Alligator mississippiensis: one gene and its partner. The protein of the gene in region 2 interacts with the protein of the main gene of each other region in a biochemical or structural test. Links are inferred from orthologs where the notes say so. Each region holds a gene or a part of one and is shown on either strand. Other genes may lie near its edges.

The links.
Region 1: the proteins of NFKB1 (region 2) and MAP3K8 form a complex in vitro, tested with the Homo sapiens proteins (2 studies listed by BioGRID and IntAct, with this or other methods). The link is inferred for Alligator mississippiensis from reciprocal best matches to the Homo sapiens genes NFKB1 and MAP3K8.

What each region holds. Positions count from the first base shown.
Region 1 is NC_081828.1:191,317,094-191,325,094, forward strand, and holds the start of MAP3K8 (mitogen-activated protein kinase kinase kinase 8), read right to left. Parts: upstream 3,003-8,001; 5' UTR 2,900-3,002; intron 2,819-2,899; exon of another isoform or gene 2,731-2,818; intron 2,698-2,730; exon of another isoform or gene 2,566-2,697; intron 1-2,565.
Region 2 is NC_081825.1:163,075,784-163,083,161, forward strand, and holds the start of NFKB1 (nuclear factor NF-kappa-B p105 subunit), read left to right. Parts: upstream 1-4,378; 5' UTR 4,379-4,542; intron 4,543-4,795; exon of another isoform or gene 4,796-4,813; intron 4,814-7,378.

The DNA of each region.
Region 1 (8,001 bases), on a different chromosome or scaffold from region 2:
GCTCAAATGAAAATGACCAAAATATTCACTGATTTTATTCTTCTCCTGCTCAAAATAGCATGGGCAGCTAAAGTTTGTTCACAGAGGAAGAAAGAAACACAACATGATTTCATGTGTGGAAGGCTGTTTAATCAGAATGAGGTTTAAATTTTTCTTTAAAAAGAGTTTATATACTTCAGCTGTCAGTGGCTCATATATGACCTTTAGCAAGAAAAGTATCTACTTGCCACTCGTGAATTAATTTTTCCTGCTAAGCCTCTTTAGTTGTACATTAGAGCACTATTTGGATGCACAATATGAGAAACAAATCATAGCCACTTCCATTCAGTGTTTTCCTAATATACATAGCAATCAAGGCCCTGTAAATAGTTTGTGTTTCTAATTACAATTCTGCTTTTACCTACAAAAGCAAAAAAAAAAAAAAAGCACGCGTTAGTCAGCTGCTTGAAGTTTAAGAAAAGGAAAAACTCTTCCTCCAATCACATCATTGCTCAACCAACATCACATGAGCCACTGGCAAGTCAAAGAGTTTTTTTGTCATGGGTAGTTTTCAGCCAAGGAAATGTTATTGTTACCTTGTCATATTTTTTTTTCTTCCAGGTATTAAAAAATATTCCTGGAATCCCAAACTGATACAGATTTTTTGCATGGTCCAGGCCCTATTCTGCAAACTAACTAGCTTAGTGTAAACACATATAAATACTATATCTGTTCTTGTTTAACCAGCCATCACCTATAAATAAAGGAATGGAGCTGGTATTTTTCCTTTAAATGCTTTCGCACTAAGATAATCGCAGGTCTTGAAAAATATCACCAAAGAAAAGAAAAGTGTCTGGAGGAAGGCCAGTGCATCAAGTTCTGCAAGACTGTCACAAGGAAGGGGAAAACCTTTAGTCTTTAAGATCTCAAGAAAGAATTTTCCATGTATGTATTCACACAACAGCTCCATTAGCCTGTGGTCAGACAGCTCCAGCAAAACTGAGAGACAGCTGCAGCAGAGTAAGATCTAAAGGACAATGCTCTCATTCCATAGCTGAACACATCCTATTTGATGAATAATAAAAATTTCTCCTGCAGAAAACCCCCATGTAAGAGACGGGGACAACTTTAACAGAATTTTAGTGCTGCTCCTCACAGCCAATTCCCTGATGTCACTGCAGTAGGACTCCTTCAACCACATGACCTTGAACATTCAGTTCAATTATTGTAAACTGAGCCCTATCTAGAGTTAAGAGGCCTTCTACAGAAGAGTGCTCACGTTGATCAGTAGGAAGTTGAAAGGTTACTGGCTCTATCCGGGTCTGTCAGCTGGAATTCTGCTTTACCTTGCTAGCTTGAGTTGCAAGTGTCAGCAAAGCCAACCTTTGAACATTATGTCAATGCTCCTCTGACACGGACTTCACCTAATTTGGGAGAATTTTTCCTCCCCCGTCATGTTCCTTCCCATTCCTGTTCTAATACAACACATTTCAAACTAAAGTACCTGAGCTAAACAGATAACTCAAGATGTAGGCTAGGCCAAAGTCTTCACAGATACTTAAATAGGTGCTAACAGAATATCACCTATGGGGGGAGGGGGTGTATGTATTGTATACACACCCATATGTATACACATGTATACTCATACCCAGAGCTGACCCTAGAGGTGTACGGGGCCTGAGGCATATCAGTCTGTGCAGGGCCTGTGTGTGTTGGGGGTGGAGGGTGGTGAGTGGCTGGAGCCCAGAGCCGGCAGGGCCTGTACGGCACTGTCCACAGGGCGCCCCCCCAAGCACGGAGCCTGGGGCAGTCGCCCCGATTCACTCCCCCAAAGGGACAGGTCTGCTCATACCTATATCTAGATATATCTATATCAGTCTATATAGTTATATCTATATCTGTATAGATAATCTCTCTCTCTCTCTATATATATATACACACACACACACACACATGCATACATATACACACATACACAGATATGTACGTAGACATATAGATAGATCTATACATATGCATATTCTATTAGCACCTATTTAAGTATCTATCCAGACTCTGCCACCTGGAGATATCTATAGATATATCTGTATCCCATTACCTATATACATATTCCAACATACATCCAATTCCTTATATAGAGTTCTCCCAAAAAGTCCCTCAGTCTTCATGGGGTAGGCCAGGCCAGTCTTGACAGATACTTAAATAGGTGCTGAGAGAGAGAGATACCAGTATTGCCAACTCTCATGATTTTTTGGTGTTCTTAAAGTCTGTGCTTTGGGACCCTGCAAAGAATATATATGAAAGAATGAGCAAAGTGTTTCACAGTCCCAAAGCACAGACTTTAAGAACAACACCGAAATCATGAGAGCTGGCAATCCTGTAATAAACACAATACACATTGCATGTGTGTACGGTGTGTGCATACACACAAACACAGATATATTTATCTATATAGACAGACAGACATCTACTCCAGGAGCACCTATTTAAATATCAATGAAGACTGTAGCCTCTAGAGACCCCCCGGCGCACAGCCCTCCCGCGCGGTGCCTGGTGCCGCACGCGCCCCGCTCAGCCCCTCCGCACCTCCGCGCTCCGGCCGGGCTTGTCCGGCTCCGGCTCCGGCGGGGCCAGAAGAGGGGCTGAGCCGAGCCGAGGTCGGTGTCGGTGTCCCTGGTCCCGGCCCGCGAGCAGCGCCGGCCCCACGGGACCTGCCCCCGCGCACGTGCGCCCGCCCCGGCTCCCCGGTACCTGCCGCGACGCGCCGCGCGCCTGCAGCGAGCGCTGGCTCGGCCGGGCTGCGCTCCGCCGCCGCCGCCGCCCGCTCGGAAACTCGGCGGGACGGGGCGGGGCGGGGCGGGGCGGGCGCAAGGAGCCGGGAGCCCCGCCCGGCGCTCCGCGCTGCCCGGCCGTGACTCACCCGGGGGCAGGCACCTCCCGCTGCCGCCGCCGCCGCCGGTTTCTGTTTGCCTTTACAGGAACCCGCGCGGCCGCTGCCTTGTGCAAGCGCTGGGAACTCCGCACCCCCCGGCCCGGCCCCCTCGCCTCCTGGGCAGGGCAGAGCCCGGCTGAGGGACGGGCCTTGGCGCCGGGGCCTTCACGCCAGAGCCACAGGGAGCCGTCGCTTCTAGTTAGGCGCCTAAATCCCACTGGAGCTGGGCTTTCGGCACCCGAGTCCAGCACCAAGATTTTCATCCCCCCTGCTCAGCTGCGGCCTGGCCCTTGGTGCACTTGCAGGAGGGTCTCTGGCAGTGCCCATGCAAAAAAAAGGCACCAAGAGCACGGGCACCGTGGAGCTGGTCAGCGCCCTGGCTGCCGACTTCAGTCCTGGCGCAGACTTGTCCCACCTGCTTTGACTGCGGGGCCCAATCCAGGCAGCACTCCCCTTCCCGAGGCCGCAAGGCTGAGCCAGTGGTCTACTGCAAAGAGCATTTGCCTGGGGGGGGCACATGTAGCTCCAGGGAAAGGCAGGCAGGCTAAAGGCTAGGGAAGTCCACTCCACGCTAAAGGTGGTTGCCATGTCTAAGGGGTCAGGGCCTCTGGACCTACGGCTACCCGTTTGTAACTCAGGAGAAGCGAGCAGACCTGCCCAATGCTAAAGACTCTCCTCTTATTGGGGAGGGGAAAGGGCGCTCAGGGCTGGGTCTTCAACTGTTTCTTTGGAACAGTGAACAAAACAATAGGGAAGGGAGTGTGGGTTGAGGTTTACAATAAGAAAGAATAACACCCTCTCCCCCCACCAATAGCACCCATATGACTAGAAGTTTTCTACAGAGACATGAGAGATGTTTTCAAATGCCAGCTTGTCCTGATTTGGGACAGGGAGCCTCTTATATCCCATAGCAGGTCCCTAAGCTGGAGTGAGTCTTTTTCCAGTCATTCTGGTTAAAGCTATGCTAGGACCTATAAAAAAAGTAACCATTTCTTGGGCCAGAGAGAAAGCAAACAAGTGAGAAAGTGACCCTACAGCTTATGAACAATGTGCTCCGGAGAGATGGGTGATCTCTCTTTTGAAGACATTAGTTTTCAAATCCCAAAATTTCAGGATTTGCAAACAGGTTTCTCACCTCCCAGTTGCTTAAGCAAGGGACCTCTCATTTGTTTGGCATTTCCTGCTGGCTAGTTGATATGGCTGATATTACTGGCTCCTGTGACTCCCAGTCAGGTACTTAATTCTCTCTTGCGTTGCACAGGGAGTCTGAGCCGGTAACTCAGAGCTGTGGGTTCCACTACCTGGCAGAGTATCAAAAAGTTAGGTGTTACAACAGTCAAGGCTGTTTTTGGAGTTGACCAAATATAATTTGGTAGAGGGACTCAGGCTCTTTAGTTCTGGATGTGAGTTTTGTAATTGCTGCAAAATCCATTTTGTTTAATTTATTAGATGTATATGTTATCTTCCCCCAAAAGGCTTAGAGCAGCTTACAATAAAAACAAGATAACTTGTAAAAACAGATACAAGATTAAAATAAAACTGTGCAATGAAGCGAACTCTCCAAACAAATGTTCAGGGCTACATTTTACGTCTTCTTTCCATAGCAGCTCTGCAGCACAGTACCACCTTTTCTATTGAGTACTTTATTCGAAGGACCACCAAAACCACTTCCTCCAGCATGTCACTGGGTTTTGTAAGTGATGACTGAGCCTGGTCATGTTAATGAGATCAGAGTGATATTTTCCGTATATTTATAGCTATAAACATTATATGTAAAATGCTGCTGACTAAAGTCTTGTTATCCTCAAGGAAGCCAAGAATCCACTCTAAACTTCAGTGTTTCTTCTTTTCAGTACATATAGGCAATTGGAATAAACCCCTTGTGATGGGCTGTGGGCTTTGTTGTAATCTTTCTGTGCAAACTGTGTTTAAGTTGCAATAATGTTGCGTGCCTGTTTCCTCTGGCTAATTTACACAAGGGGAAAAGAATGGGTTAAAGAGACAGTGAAGGAAAAGATCTGCTTGCATATGGGACCTCTAGCAGCCCACCTTAAATAGTTTTGTTGACTGTATTAACAAAGGTGAGATGTCCCACACCCAGGCCTCTGTTGGGGAGGCTGAATGAAATGAGCACAATGGGGAGGCGGAAGTGTGAACAAGAAAGGGAGGGAGTCTAGAGTTAGAGACCAGTGGTGTCAGACAGCCCATTGCCTGAATCTGGCCTGGGCAGTTGTGGAAGGAGCCATGGAATTTGGGTATGGATCCCTGTTGGCAGTGGGACTGCCTTACCCTGCTACTGCTGGCTCTGCTACTTTCTGCCACTTGCCCATCCCTTCAGCTGCTCACCCCACCCCCAGAGGTGGGTCTGCATCTGTCCCTGCAGCCCAAATCCGGCCTAAGGGCAAAATGAGTTTGACACCCCCTGATCTAGGCCATTCCTATTTATTAATGCATTACAAAATACTGTAAGAGTGGACTTGGCCCTGTGTACACGCAGATGGATGTGGTTCCAGTCCTCAGAAGCACAGATGATAAATTAACTGAAATTCAAATCTTTACCTCAGAAAGTTTGTCTTGTTTTATTTATGTACTATTTGACTGCACTACTTTAGTGGTCCTTTTTCAGACTTGACACCCCCTGTTTGGCTCAAGGTAGCCCCCAGAAAATGCCAGCTCTTACTTTTCACTTTGCTTTTAACTACAGAAAAATAATAGAGCAATTCTTCCGGTGCAAAGAACCAAGAAAGACCACAGCAGAGCAGAATGTTTTTAGCGCTATGAATTCTTGCCTGAAATCTCTGGGTTTATCCTGTGAATCATGGTTGCACACCAGCACTACTAACACTGAATAGCACCTGCTATATCCTTGAAAGGCTCTCAAGTCACTCCAGGGTGCTGTGGCACCCTGGTTGAGAATCACTGCACAACCTGATATGCCATCAAGGAAAGATCTCTCTGAAGTACAAGAAGAAAGTGTAAAGATGAGAGGAAGAAAGAAATAAGTGGGCATTCAAGAAGGGACCTTGAGAGAAACACAGGCAGTAGGAAAGGAAATAAAATGAAGAATGAATGCTAGCAAATAGGGAGGGGTGAAATAAACAGAGATTTAGGGTGGGCGGATGAGTTAGAATAACACATCTTTAATTATATAGTAGCTCTCATACAGGCAGACCTTAGATATTATTGTTAAAGAACTAGTGCAGTTGTTAATTTTCTTAAGCGCACTATTCATTTTAATAAGATCATTTTCTTTTTTAGACCAGCCTCACAGGAAGTTGAGTTTCTCTCCTTAGCTCATCAGTGAATTTATGAAGAACCTGTCATACAATTCTGGAGGAAAAACATAAGAGTTTTTATAGACAGGTGGAGAAGACTGGAAATTCTGGTCACATACCCCATGTAAGAACAAATCTAAATGCAAAGTACTAACTAAAGTTACTGTGCTGTAGTGACAGCACGTGGGTTTTTAGTGATGCTTATTGTGCAGCAGCCTAATACTACTGCGCAGTAGAGTGTTAACACGGTTTTTGTCTGGCACACTACTGCACAGTGTTATTAGGCTACTGTGCGTTAAGCATTCATGTAGATGTGCCCAGTCTCAGATTCTTCTATATAATTCTGTCTACATCCATGCTAATTTGTAAATGTTAAGATACTACAGAAAAGTAGGTATAATCTCCAAATTGCAAATTGGTAAGTATGACAGTCACGCAGTGTTCTGTGCGCTCTGCCCCTGCTTTCCCAAGAGCACCCCCTACTTTCCTTCCTTCCAACCCCTCCAAAGGAGTTGGGTGTGGGTCTCCAGTCTCCTAAGGCAGGGGACCTGAGGGAGTGAAGGCAGAGCCCACAGGAGAGCACTCATGAGCGGTCTGCCCCACTTTCTCCCCTGTCTTCATGGGGTTGGGGGAAAGATCAGTGGGATGCTGGAGGATGAAGCTGTCCTCTGATGCACTCTGGGCAGTGTAGCATGCACACATGAAACAGGAAGCGCTCCAAAATAGCACATGTTCTCCTCAGGGTTCTTTTTAAAGTACTTCCACCAATTTCAGAACACTTGAAAGCAGGGGTGGGCAAAATGCTCCAGGCTATCCTATCCAGCCCCTGCCCCAAATTTAGAAAATTAATATTTATCTGCCTCTGGCTGCCTGTCATGCCTCCCTTGATGACTTGCCAAAACTCAGTAAGCAGCCCTCTGCCTGAAATAATTGCCCACCCCTGCTTTAAAGGGTGTGTATACCTGCTCGCTTCCCTTTGAAGGATTTCAGGGATCACTAAGGAGCTTCAAACACTACTCTGTCCACACCTAAATAGTAACTGAACATGTCCTCCAAGATGTGTAGCAAAGGGGTGGGGGTGGGGGCAGGAGGGGAGGCGAGTGGGGTGACTGTCCTGGGCGCTGAAGCAAAGGGGTGCCAACATACGCTGCCCTGCCAGCACAGAGCATGGGATGGAGCTGTGAGCGGCTCGCTTGGGGGGGGCTGTGGGGACTGGGGGAGGGTTTCTCCCTCCACTGCGTGCATGCCTGGGCAAGCATCCCCCGGACGAGGGTGGGCTGCCTCTGGGGGCTTTGTTCCGGGAGCCAAACTTCCTTGCCAGAGCACTGGAGTTGTCACACATTCTCAAGCACTAACTTTATAGCTGGTTGGCACTTTTTTTATAGCTGGAAAGTCATTTTTCTTGTGTGATAATCACTTTACACTTGGCGGGTCTACATTCATTGCACAGTGCCCGTGCAGCAGGGGCCTCCACACCCTCACACACTGGCTTGGCTTTATGACTCACAGCAGTCCCAGGGTCAGGGCTTTGCTCCGGGCCTAGAGCCAGGCTCCCAACCCCTGCAGACTCGAGGTGCCCCTTGCCAGACCCGATCCCCCTTAGGAAGTGCCAGCTCGTAGTTTCCCCTCCTTTTTGGATGACAAAAAAAGACCAGAGCCCGCAGCAGGACACGACGCTTCCCAGACCCCGGCTTGATCCCTCGCTCCCGCCGCCGCCCAGCAGCGTCCTTCCCAGCTCCCGCCGGAGCCGCGCGCAACTAGGGCGAGGCTTGACCCTCGCGCCGCGCCGTACACGCTCGGCCGGCGCCTGCGCAC
Region 2 (7,378 bases):
GCTCCATGGCTGGCAGCAGCTGCTTAGAGCCCAGGCTGGCGGTGGTGTGCCGAGCAAAATGGCCTTGCATGCCATGCTCGGCATGCATGCCGGGGGTTGCTGATCCCTGGTATAGGGCTTTAGCATTAGTATAGTATAGGGTTGTGCTAGCCCTGAATACATGTTTGTCCATTTTGTCTAGTGGTTACCTGCACATTTTGAAAAGAACCAGAGATAGAAATGGTAATTGTGGGACTCCACAAATTGAGGGGTCAAGTATCGGAGATGAAGGTTCCCATCACAGCTCATCAGATGCTTCCCACCCAAAAATATTTAAAGTATTATAGTGCTTTACTTATGACTTTGGGTACCTCTTTCAACCATTTCTTTTGTTTCAATAGATACATTAAGAACACCAAAAACTATTTTTAACAACTTATCTGTCTTTCTTATAGCTCTATATTGATAGAGGAACTGATTCACCCTTGCTTAACATTTCGTACTCAAGTACTGACCCATCATTCTTAAAGGTAGGAATTCAATTTCTTTATTGTAAACATCACAACTTTATCTCCACTTGATGTAAGATTCTTGTTAGAACTACCTAGAAATAGAAAAATGAGAGCATAGTTAATTAAAATATAAAAACTAGTAGTGGAATTGGTCTGGTATTATGCAAATAATAACTAGCCAAACACAATAAATATGCTTAAAATGTGTTGAATATAATGTATATACCCTAGAAACTCTTTGGTCCCCATCCCCCCAACCAAGAAAAGTCTACAGACCTTATTATTCACCCTAATACAATTTGCTCTGGGCCACAGTGATTATGCAAACAAACAGGAAACCTGTTCTAACTCAATGTCTAGTGGTTCTTCTAATATTTCTCTTCAGGTGGTATAAAGTGAGCTAGGCTACCTCCATTTTAAGAGAGTTGGCCCAGCAGGTATGTCAGGGGTGCGGCGAGATCAGGGCCAGGCAATTATTTCGGCAGGAGAGCCGTTTAGTGAGTTTTGGTAAACTGTCAAGGGCCACAAGGATAGCCCCACCCCTTGACAGGTGCCTCGCCCACTGGTCACTATCTTGGAACTGAAAGTCCCATCCCCTAACCCTCTGACCTTTGCCACCCAAAGTCCCTCACCTTCCCCCTGGAAGTACATCTTTTGGGAAGGGGGTTAGCCATCTTGGAACCAGAAAAAAACCCCAAATTATATTTTAAAAATCAAACATCTGCAATAACATATTTTTATTTTATTTTTTAAAAATATTTTTGTCCCGATTTTGTGTGTGTATGCGCTGTGTACATAGAGGTGATTGCATAATAGCTCAAAATGAAGTCTTACTCTTGTATATTGTGGTGGGGGGTGGGGAGGGGTGTGGGGGAGTTGTGTAACATCGACATCAACACTTGGGAGACCCTTGCTCAGGACCAACCAAAATGGAGGAAGGCTCTTTGGGAGGGACCACAACACTTTGAAACAGCTCGTCGACAGGCAGAAGAGGAAAAGAGGAACAGGCTAAAAGGACATCAGAACATCCAACGCAGCAACACAGTGCCCATCCCTCCTGGAAACACCCGTCCTCACTGCAACAAGATATGTGGATTTAGAATTGGGCTATGGAGCCGCCTGCGGATTCACTATTAAGAGGCTTAGAAGACAATCTTTAGCATTTGTGAGTGATCAGCCATCATCATCAGAATATATATTTACTTATATAGAGAGGCATAAATATTTTTGGAAAAAAAACCCATGCAGAAGATCCCTTGCAAGATTGGGACCTTGCGGTCTGATATTGCTTCCTCTGAAGTTAAAGACAAACCATCCATTGACTTCAACAGTAGAGGACTGGGCTGTAAGACAATGAAAGTTATCTTTTTTTTTTAAAGTAAAGTGAACCAAATCCTCCATGGAGCAGGCACAGGATATAAGTTAGAGGCTAAGTGTTAGGGGCTGAAGCTATTAATAATTTTCTTTTAAAACTCAATCTGCTCGGTTTGTTTTAACTCTTATTTCTATGCCATCATGTCTGATGTTCCAGTACTTGTTCATTCAAGTTCTGCCTGTGAGTAGCTGTGACATGGCAGCTTTTCTTTCAACTGAATCTCTCTGAAACATTTCTCATCTTTTAAATCTATATTAAACTCCTTCATTCAGAGCCCTGGGGCCAAAATCTTTATACTGTTTTTACTCCAGTGAATTCAGTGTACTAACTTTGTACTTCCACAAGGGAGTTCAGATTCCTGTCATGGGACTGAAAAACTCCTCAGAATTGATTATTTCTCTTAGAAATGCTAAAACAATGAAAGAGTTTGTGAAAAATTCCATTTTCAGAATTGCATGATGAGTCAAGAGAACAGTTTGAAAAGAGAAATTCAGGGTCTTTATCTGTAAATGATTTCAGTTCCCTTATCAAAAACACAGAGAAAAAAAATTGTGGGTCATGCGGGATTTTTGGAAACAGCCTTGAAAGTAATGCTAAATGAGTATTAGAGATGGGAATGAGCCACAAAATTTGGCTGAGGGAACGCTATCCAAACCCACATCTGGATTTTAAATTTGGTCAACCATAGATAGCCACAAGATTTCAATCCAAACCTCTGCTGAGAAGAAATTATGACACCTTTCCTCCTCTGTACCTTCCTACTGCTGTACCTCTGCAAAAATGTGATTCATCATTGATTGAATGTAGCATTTTGGCTGATTTCTGCTCCGGTTCTGGAAGAGATCCATGTTTCAGTGTTAAAGAGGCAAGATCCACAGTTTTGTACACTGGCTATTAATTCATTGTTTAAAATCTTTTTCCATCCCACTGCTGTACCCAGTCCCCTGCCATGCAGGGAGGGGCACTTGCTCAAAAGAAAGAAAAGTTTATTTCCCTCAAAAACTTCCCACTGTTGCTTGTACTTGCTCAGCTGCACCAGAAGTAAAAGAACCACCCCAGATTTTCAGGAACAGTCCCAAACATCATGGTGGTGCCAAAGCAGAATAGAAACAGTACGATTGGGTCATACTGTGCCCCTGGCTAATTAGCTTTGTCAACGCTGCATGAATGCAGCTATAGTAATTAGCGATGCCATGAAGTGGAGTTAAGTAGCTTGGATACAGAAGAGTGCCATGTAAGTACAGCTCTGCTGCTTCCGGTTCAAGAGGTTTCCCTGGGCAGAGTCCATAACACTCCAATATTGCAGCACATGATTTAAAATAGACTTTTTTTCTCTTTGTGGCAGGAGAGGATTTTCCTGTAAGTGTGGACCAGAAGAGGGGGTAAACCACTTCCAGTTCCAGAGGCCTGCAGAGCATCCTAGATTTTGCTTCATAAAAGTTCATATCAGCATCAAGACCCTCAGTATATTATCAATGATTATTTTTACTTTAAAAGGGCCAGGCAGCTGGGGAGAGAGGGGGGGTCTGTTGTGCTAAGTGCTGTACAAATGTATAGTAAATGCTAGTCTGTGCCACACAGACTATTGCAACCCCAGTTGCCCTCCAGCTCCAATGCCTCTTTTAGCATTTTTTGAGTAGATGATGCTTTAACTGGCACCATACTAAAACGGGTGCAATGTTAGCAACAGTGGGGGCAGTGCCTGCATGTTTTTAAATGCCTAGTACTTGTGCCCTCACACAGCTCCCTTTGAGCTGCAAAACGTGTTTGCTGGGGTGAGCAGTTCCTGCTCCTGTGGAAGCCAGATTGTGTTCTGGGGGGATGTAACCAGCTTCTTCCTCTCTAGGGTTTTCCCTGGGGAGGGCGGGGGGGGGGGGGTAGAGTTTCTCTCATCTGGCACTAGGGTGGCCGTCATAGAGGACAGTCCGGTTGTGCTCTATTGATACAAAGCCCTTTTTGTCCTGTATTTTCCTCCCAAAGAGGACAAATAGAGGACAAAATGGAGCGATCATTCACCAACTGTGCCCTTCACAAACTATGGTTTTATTTGTCGTACCAATTCTGGGCCTCCTTAATTAGGACAAATAGAGGACGTAAAGGTGTATCAATAGAGGACAGAGTAGCAGAAAACCTGAGTGTCCCCTATCCGGCGCAGACTGTTTCCTCTCTGGGCGGTAAGCGACTGGCCCGGGTTTGACTCCCTTCAGAAGAGGCCGGGACACCCTCCCACACCCGGGGAAGTGGAGGTAGCCCGGCTTGAACCCGGGCGGCACAAGGAGCTTGCGGGACCCTGCGGGATCCGGGACGAGCGGCTTTGCCGGGTCGCAGCAGCACCCCCTGAGGCGGTGGCGGCGGCAGGCGTCCTGCCCCCTCTCTCCCCCGGCCGCCGCCTCCGCCGCAGCCGCTCGCTTGGTCTCGAGACGTCAGCGGGAATTTCCAGCCAGGAAGTGAGAGGGGCGAGCAGCTGGGGCCGCGGAGCAGGAAGCGGCGCTGCGCGCACACACTCGGGCACACGGGCACGGCGGCGGGCGGCGCTCACAGGGCGGCGGCCGCGGGTCCCGGCCGGCCGGCGGCGGCGAGCGGCTCATGGCGCGGCGCTGAGCCCGCGACAGACGGGACGGGACGAGCGGAGCGGAGCGGAGCGGAGCGGGGGCCTCTTCCCCGCGCCCAGGCAGGGTGAGTACGCAGCTGTGCCCCGCCAGCGGGGAGCCGGGGTCACTCCGGATCGCGGGCGCGGGGCTGTGAGGAGCGGGGGGGGGGGGGTCACGTTGGCCGGGAGGGTGCCCTGAGGGCGAGGGGGGCGGGCAGCGCGCCCGGCCCGGCCCGGCCCGGCCCGCTTCCTCCCTTGGCGCAGCCCGGCCTGGGGCCGCCCCCGGCCCTGGGGAGGGAGGGGCTGTGCCCGAGCCGAGGGTCTGGGGTTGTCATCGCCGCCGCCTCTTGCTGCTGTGTATGTCTTTCTTTTTGATATTTTTATTTTGTTTTTTGCTTGTAATTGTGTAACTTCAGAAATCCCTGTGTTTAGTTGCTGTGTCATGACGCAATTTGTGGCTGCTGATCCTGGCGGCCAAGATGCACGCAGGGGTTTTCCCCCCTGCCTTCATGGGGATGCTTGTGGGGCTCTTCTGAGCCAGGTGGGAAGAGATGGGCAGGCATACAAAGCCCTGCCAAGGGTAGGGGGCAAATCAAGGGGAGAAGGAAACGCTGGATGTATTACTGGCCTCTGCCTCCTTCCACATGCCCCCCTCAGGGGGTCCTTTCTTTGGGTGGCATCTTCTACTGGACCCACTGTGTCAGTGGGATCAAGAGACACCAGCTTTTGAATATAAGGCACTCTGTTTCAGGTAATGGTCATACTGGCAGGTGGGTCAGGAAAACCAGTTCAAGTGCAGTAGTGGCACCCCTGAAGCCTGCTGCTGGCAAAGCCCAAGTGTCGCACGTGAAATGGAGCAAGCTGTGGTCTTCGCAAACTATGGTTACCTTCGTCACGCCAGTTGTGGGCCTCCTTGATTCACAGAAAACCACTACAGTGCCAGCTGTGTAGATATTCTGCATAAGGGAGGAGAAAAGGGGTGGATGCAAAGTCCTGCCAGGTACAGGAAACAAAACAGCTGAAGTGGATGCATACCACTTTTCCACCCTTTTTCTCCTCCTTTGCTCAGGATATCTATAGTTCTGGCACTGTTGCAATTTTTTTCCCTGTGGATTAAGGAGACCCAGAATTGGTACAACAAAGAAAAGCATAGTGTGTGAAGGCCACAGTTTGTGAACAATTGCTCCATTTTTGTGTGACGTTCTGGCTTTTCCTGCAACAGCCTTCAGGGGCTCTGCTGTTGTATCTGATTTGGTTTTCCTGACTAACCTGCCAGTTGAAAGTATAACTGTGACTTAAAGTGGGATACTTTGTGTTTTGAAAGCTTGTCTAACTGTATCCCAGTGATGCAGTGTGTCCAGTAGAAGATGCCTCCCAAAGAAATCTGGGCCTCTAGTGTAACTGTAAACATTGGTGGTGAAGTAGCATGGGAAAACCCTAATAGTGAGCGAGAACCATGAAAGGTCTCTGTTGCAAATACAGGGAAGATTACAAGCAGTTTTACAGCTGGTAGCTGGCAAGGGTTTAAGGGCATCCACAGTACTAGATAGAAATGAAATACTCTTTCCATGATGGAGACTAATATCTGACACTTTGTTGCTATTATAGCTGACCCTAACACATGGAAGGTTCAGTTCCACATTAGTTTTTCTGCTCTGTCATTAAATGTTTTCTTCATTTGAACATAAAGACACACACACAATTTTATGTTCAAATGAAGAAAAAAAACTTAATACTGCTTCCTCCAGGACAATGGCAAAGCAAGAAGAAAAAAAAAAAATGCAGAACTGAACCTTCCAAATATATAAAATAGATATTATTTCTTTAGCCTGGACTCCATTTTGTATACAAATACAGGCAATGGGCCTGATCCTACAAAAGCTTTTACATGTACAACTTTATTCACATGTTTAATTGTATACCCGTGTAAGTGTTTGCAGGATTGGAGCTTTACAAATAAAACCTGTCTGTTAATTCAAAAGCATATTTCTGTTTTCCAGTTTAAAAAAAAGTTAAATATTGAAGACACAAATCTTTACAAAAAAGTAAAGTTTGAGAAGAAAATAGAGATGTTATTTAACATGGCATAGAGCACAATAAGCTTCGATTAATTTGTCACTGGTTTAATTTGCCCTTTGGTTCCCTTCTCCCCCTGTTATCCAGTTCTAAAAGTTGGTCATTACCAGATAACTTGTCATTATTTCTATTCACATTGCAGTGACAAGTTAATTAGAGTTTACTGTAAATAGGAGTATTTAACTGTATGGTTTAAAAAAAAAAAAAATCCCTTTTATTGTTTTCTCTATCATTTTCTTTCCAAGACAGAAATCCGAACAGATCTTAGAGAGCATGATTCTTCATTCTGGCACATCAGATTTACACTGAAATAATGGAGTTAAAAATATGGCCTTAACATTTTTTAGCTGTTTGTTTATTGTTTTTTTTTGAAGTTCTTAAACTTTTTTTTGCTGTGTATTACAGATTCGTTTAGCTTTGTAAACATACTAGTCAGAGTTACTTTCTCTGGGTAAAAACCCATACTTTTGTAATTTGAAGAGAAGATAAAACTGTTCAGATTTGGTTCCCTGTAATCTATGTTAATGAATGATCAGTAAGTTAGTTGCTAAAATGCTGGAACAAAGCACTTTATAAAACCTGGATGCAGCCTCTCAACTACTATAAAATGTTATAGTTCAGTGACAGTGATCTCAAAGATAGTGAAATTATGACAATATTGACCAGCTAGGGATCTTCACATAATATTTTTACATGTGAATTTCCTTTACCCCTCTATTACCTTTGGTTTATTGTTTGCAAGACTGAGTAATTTAGTTATAAAAGGTTTTCAGTTTAACAAGAGAAAAGCCTTCCTTTCCTGTCCACACTCCCATTGAAAGAAAATGATCAACAGTAAAGTCAGCA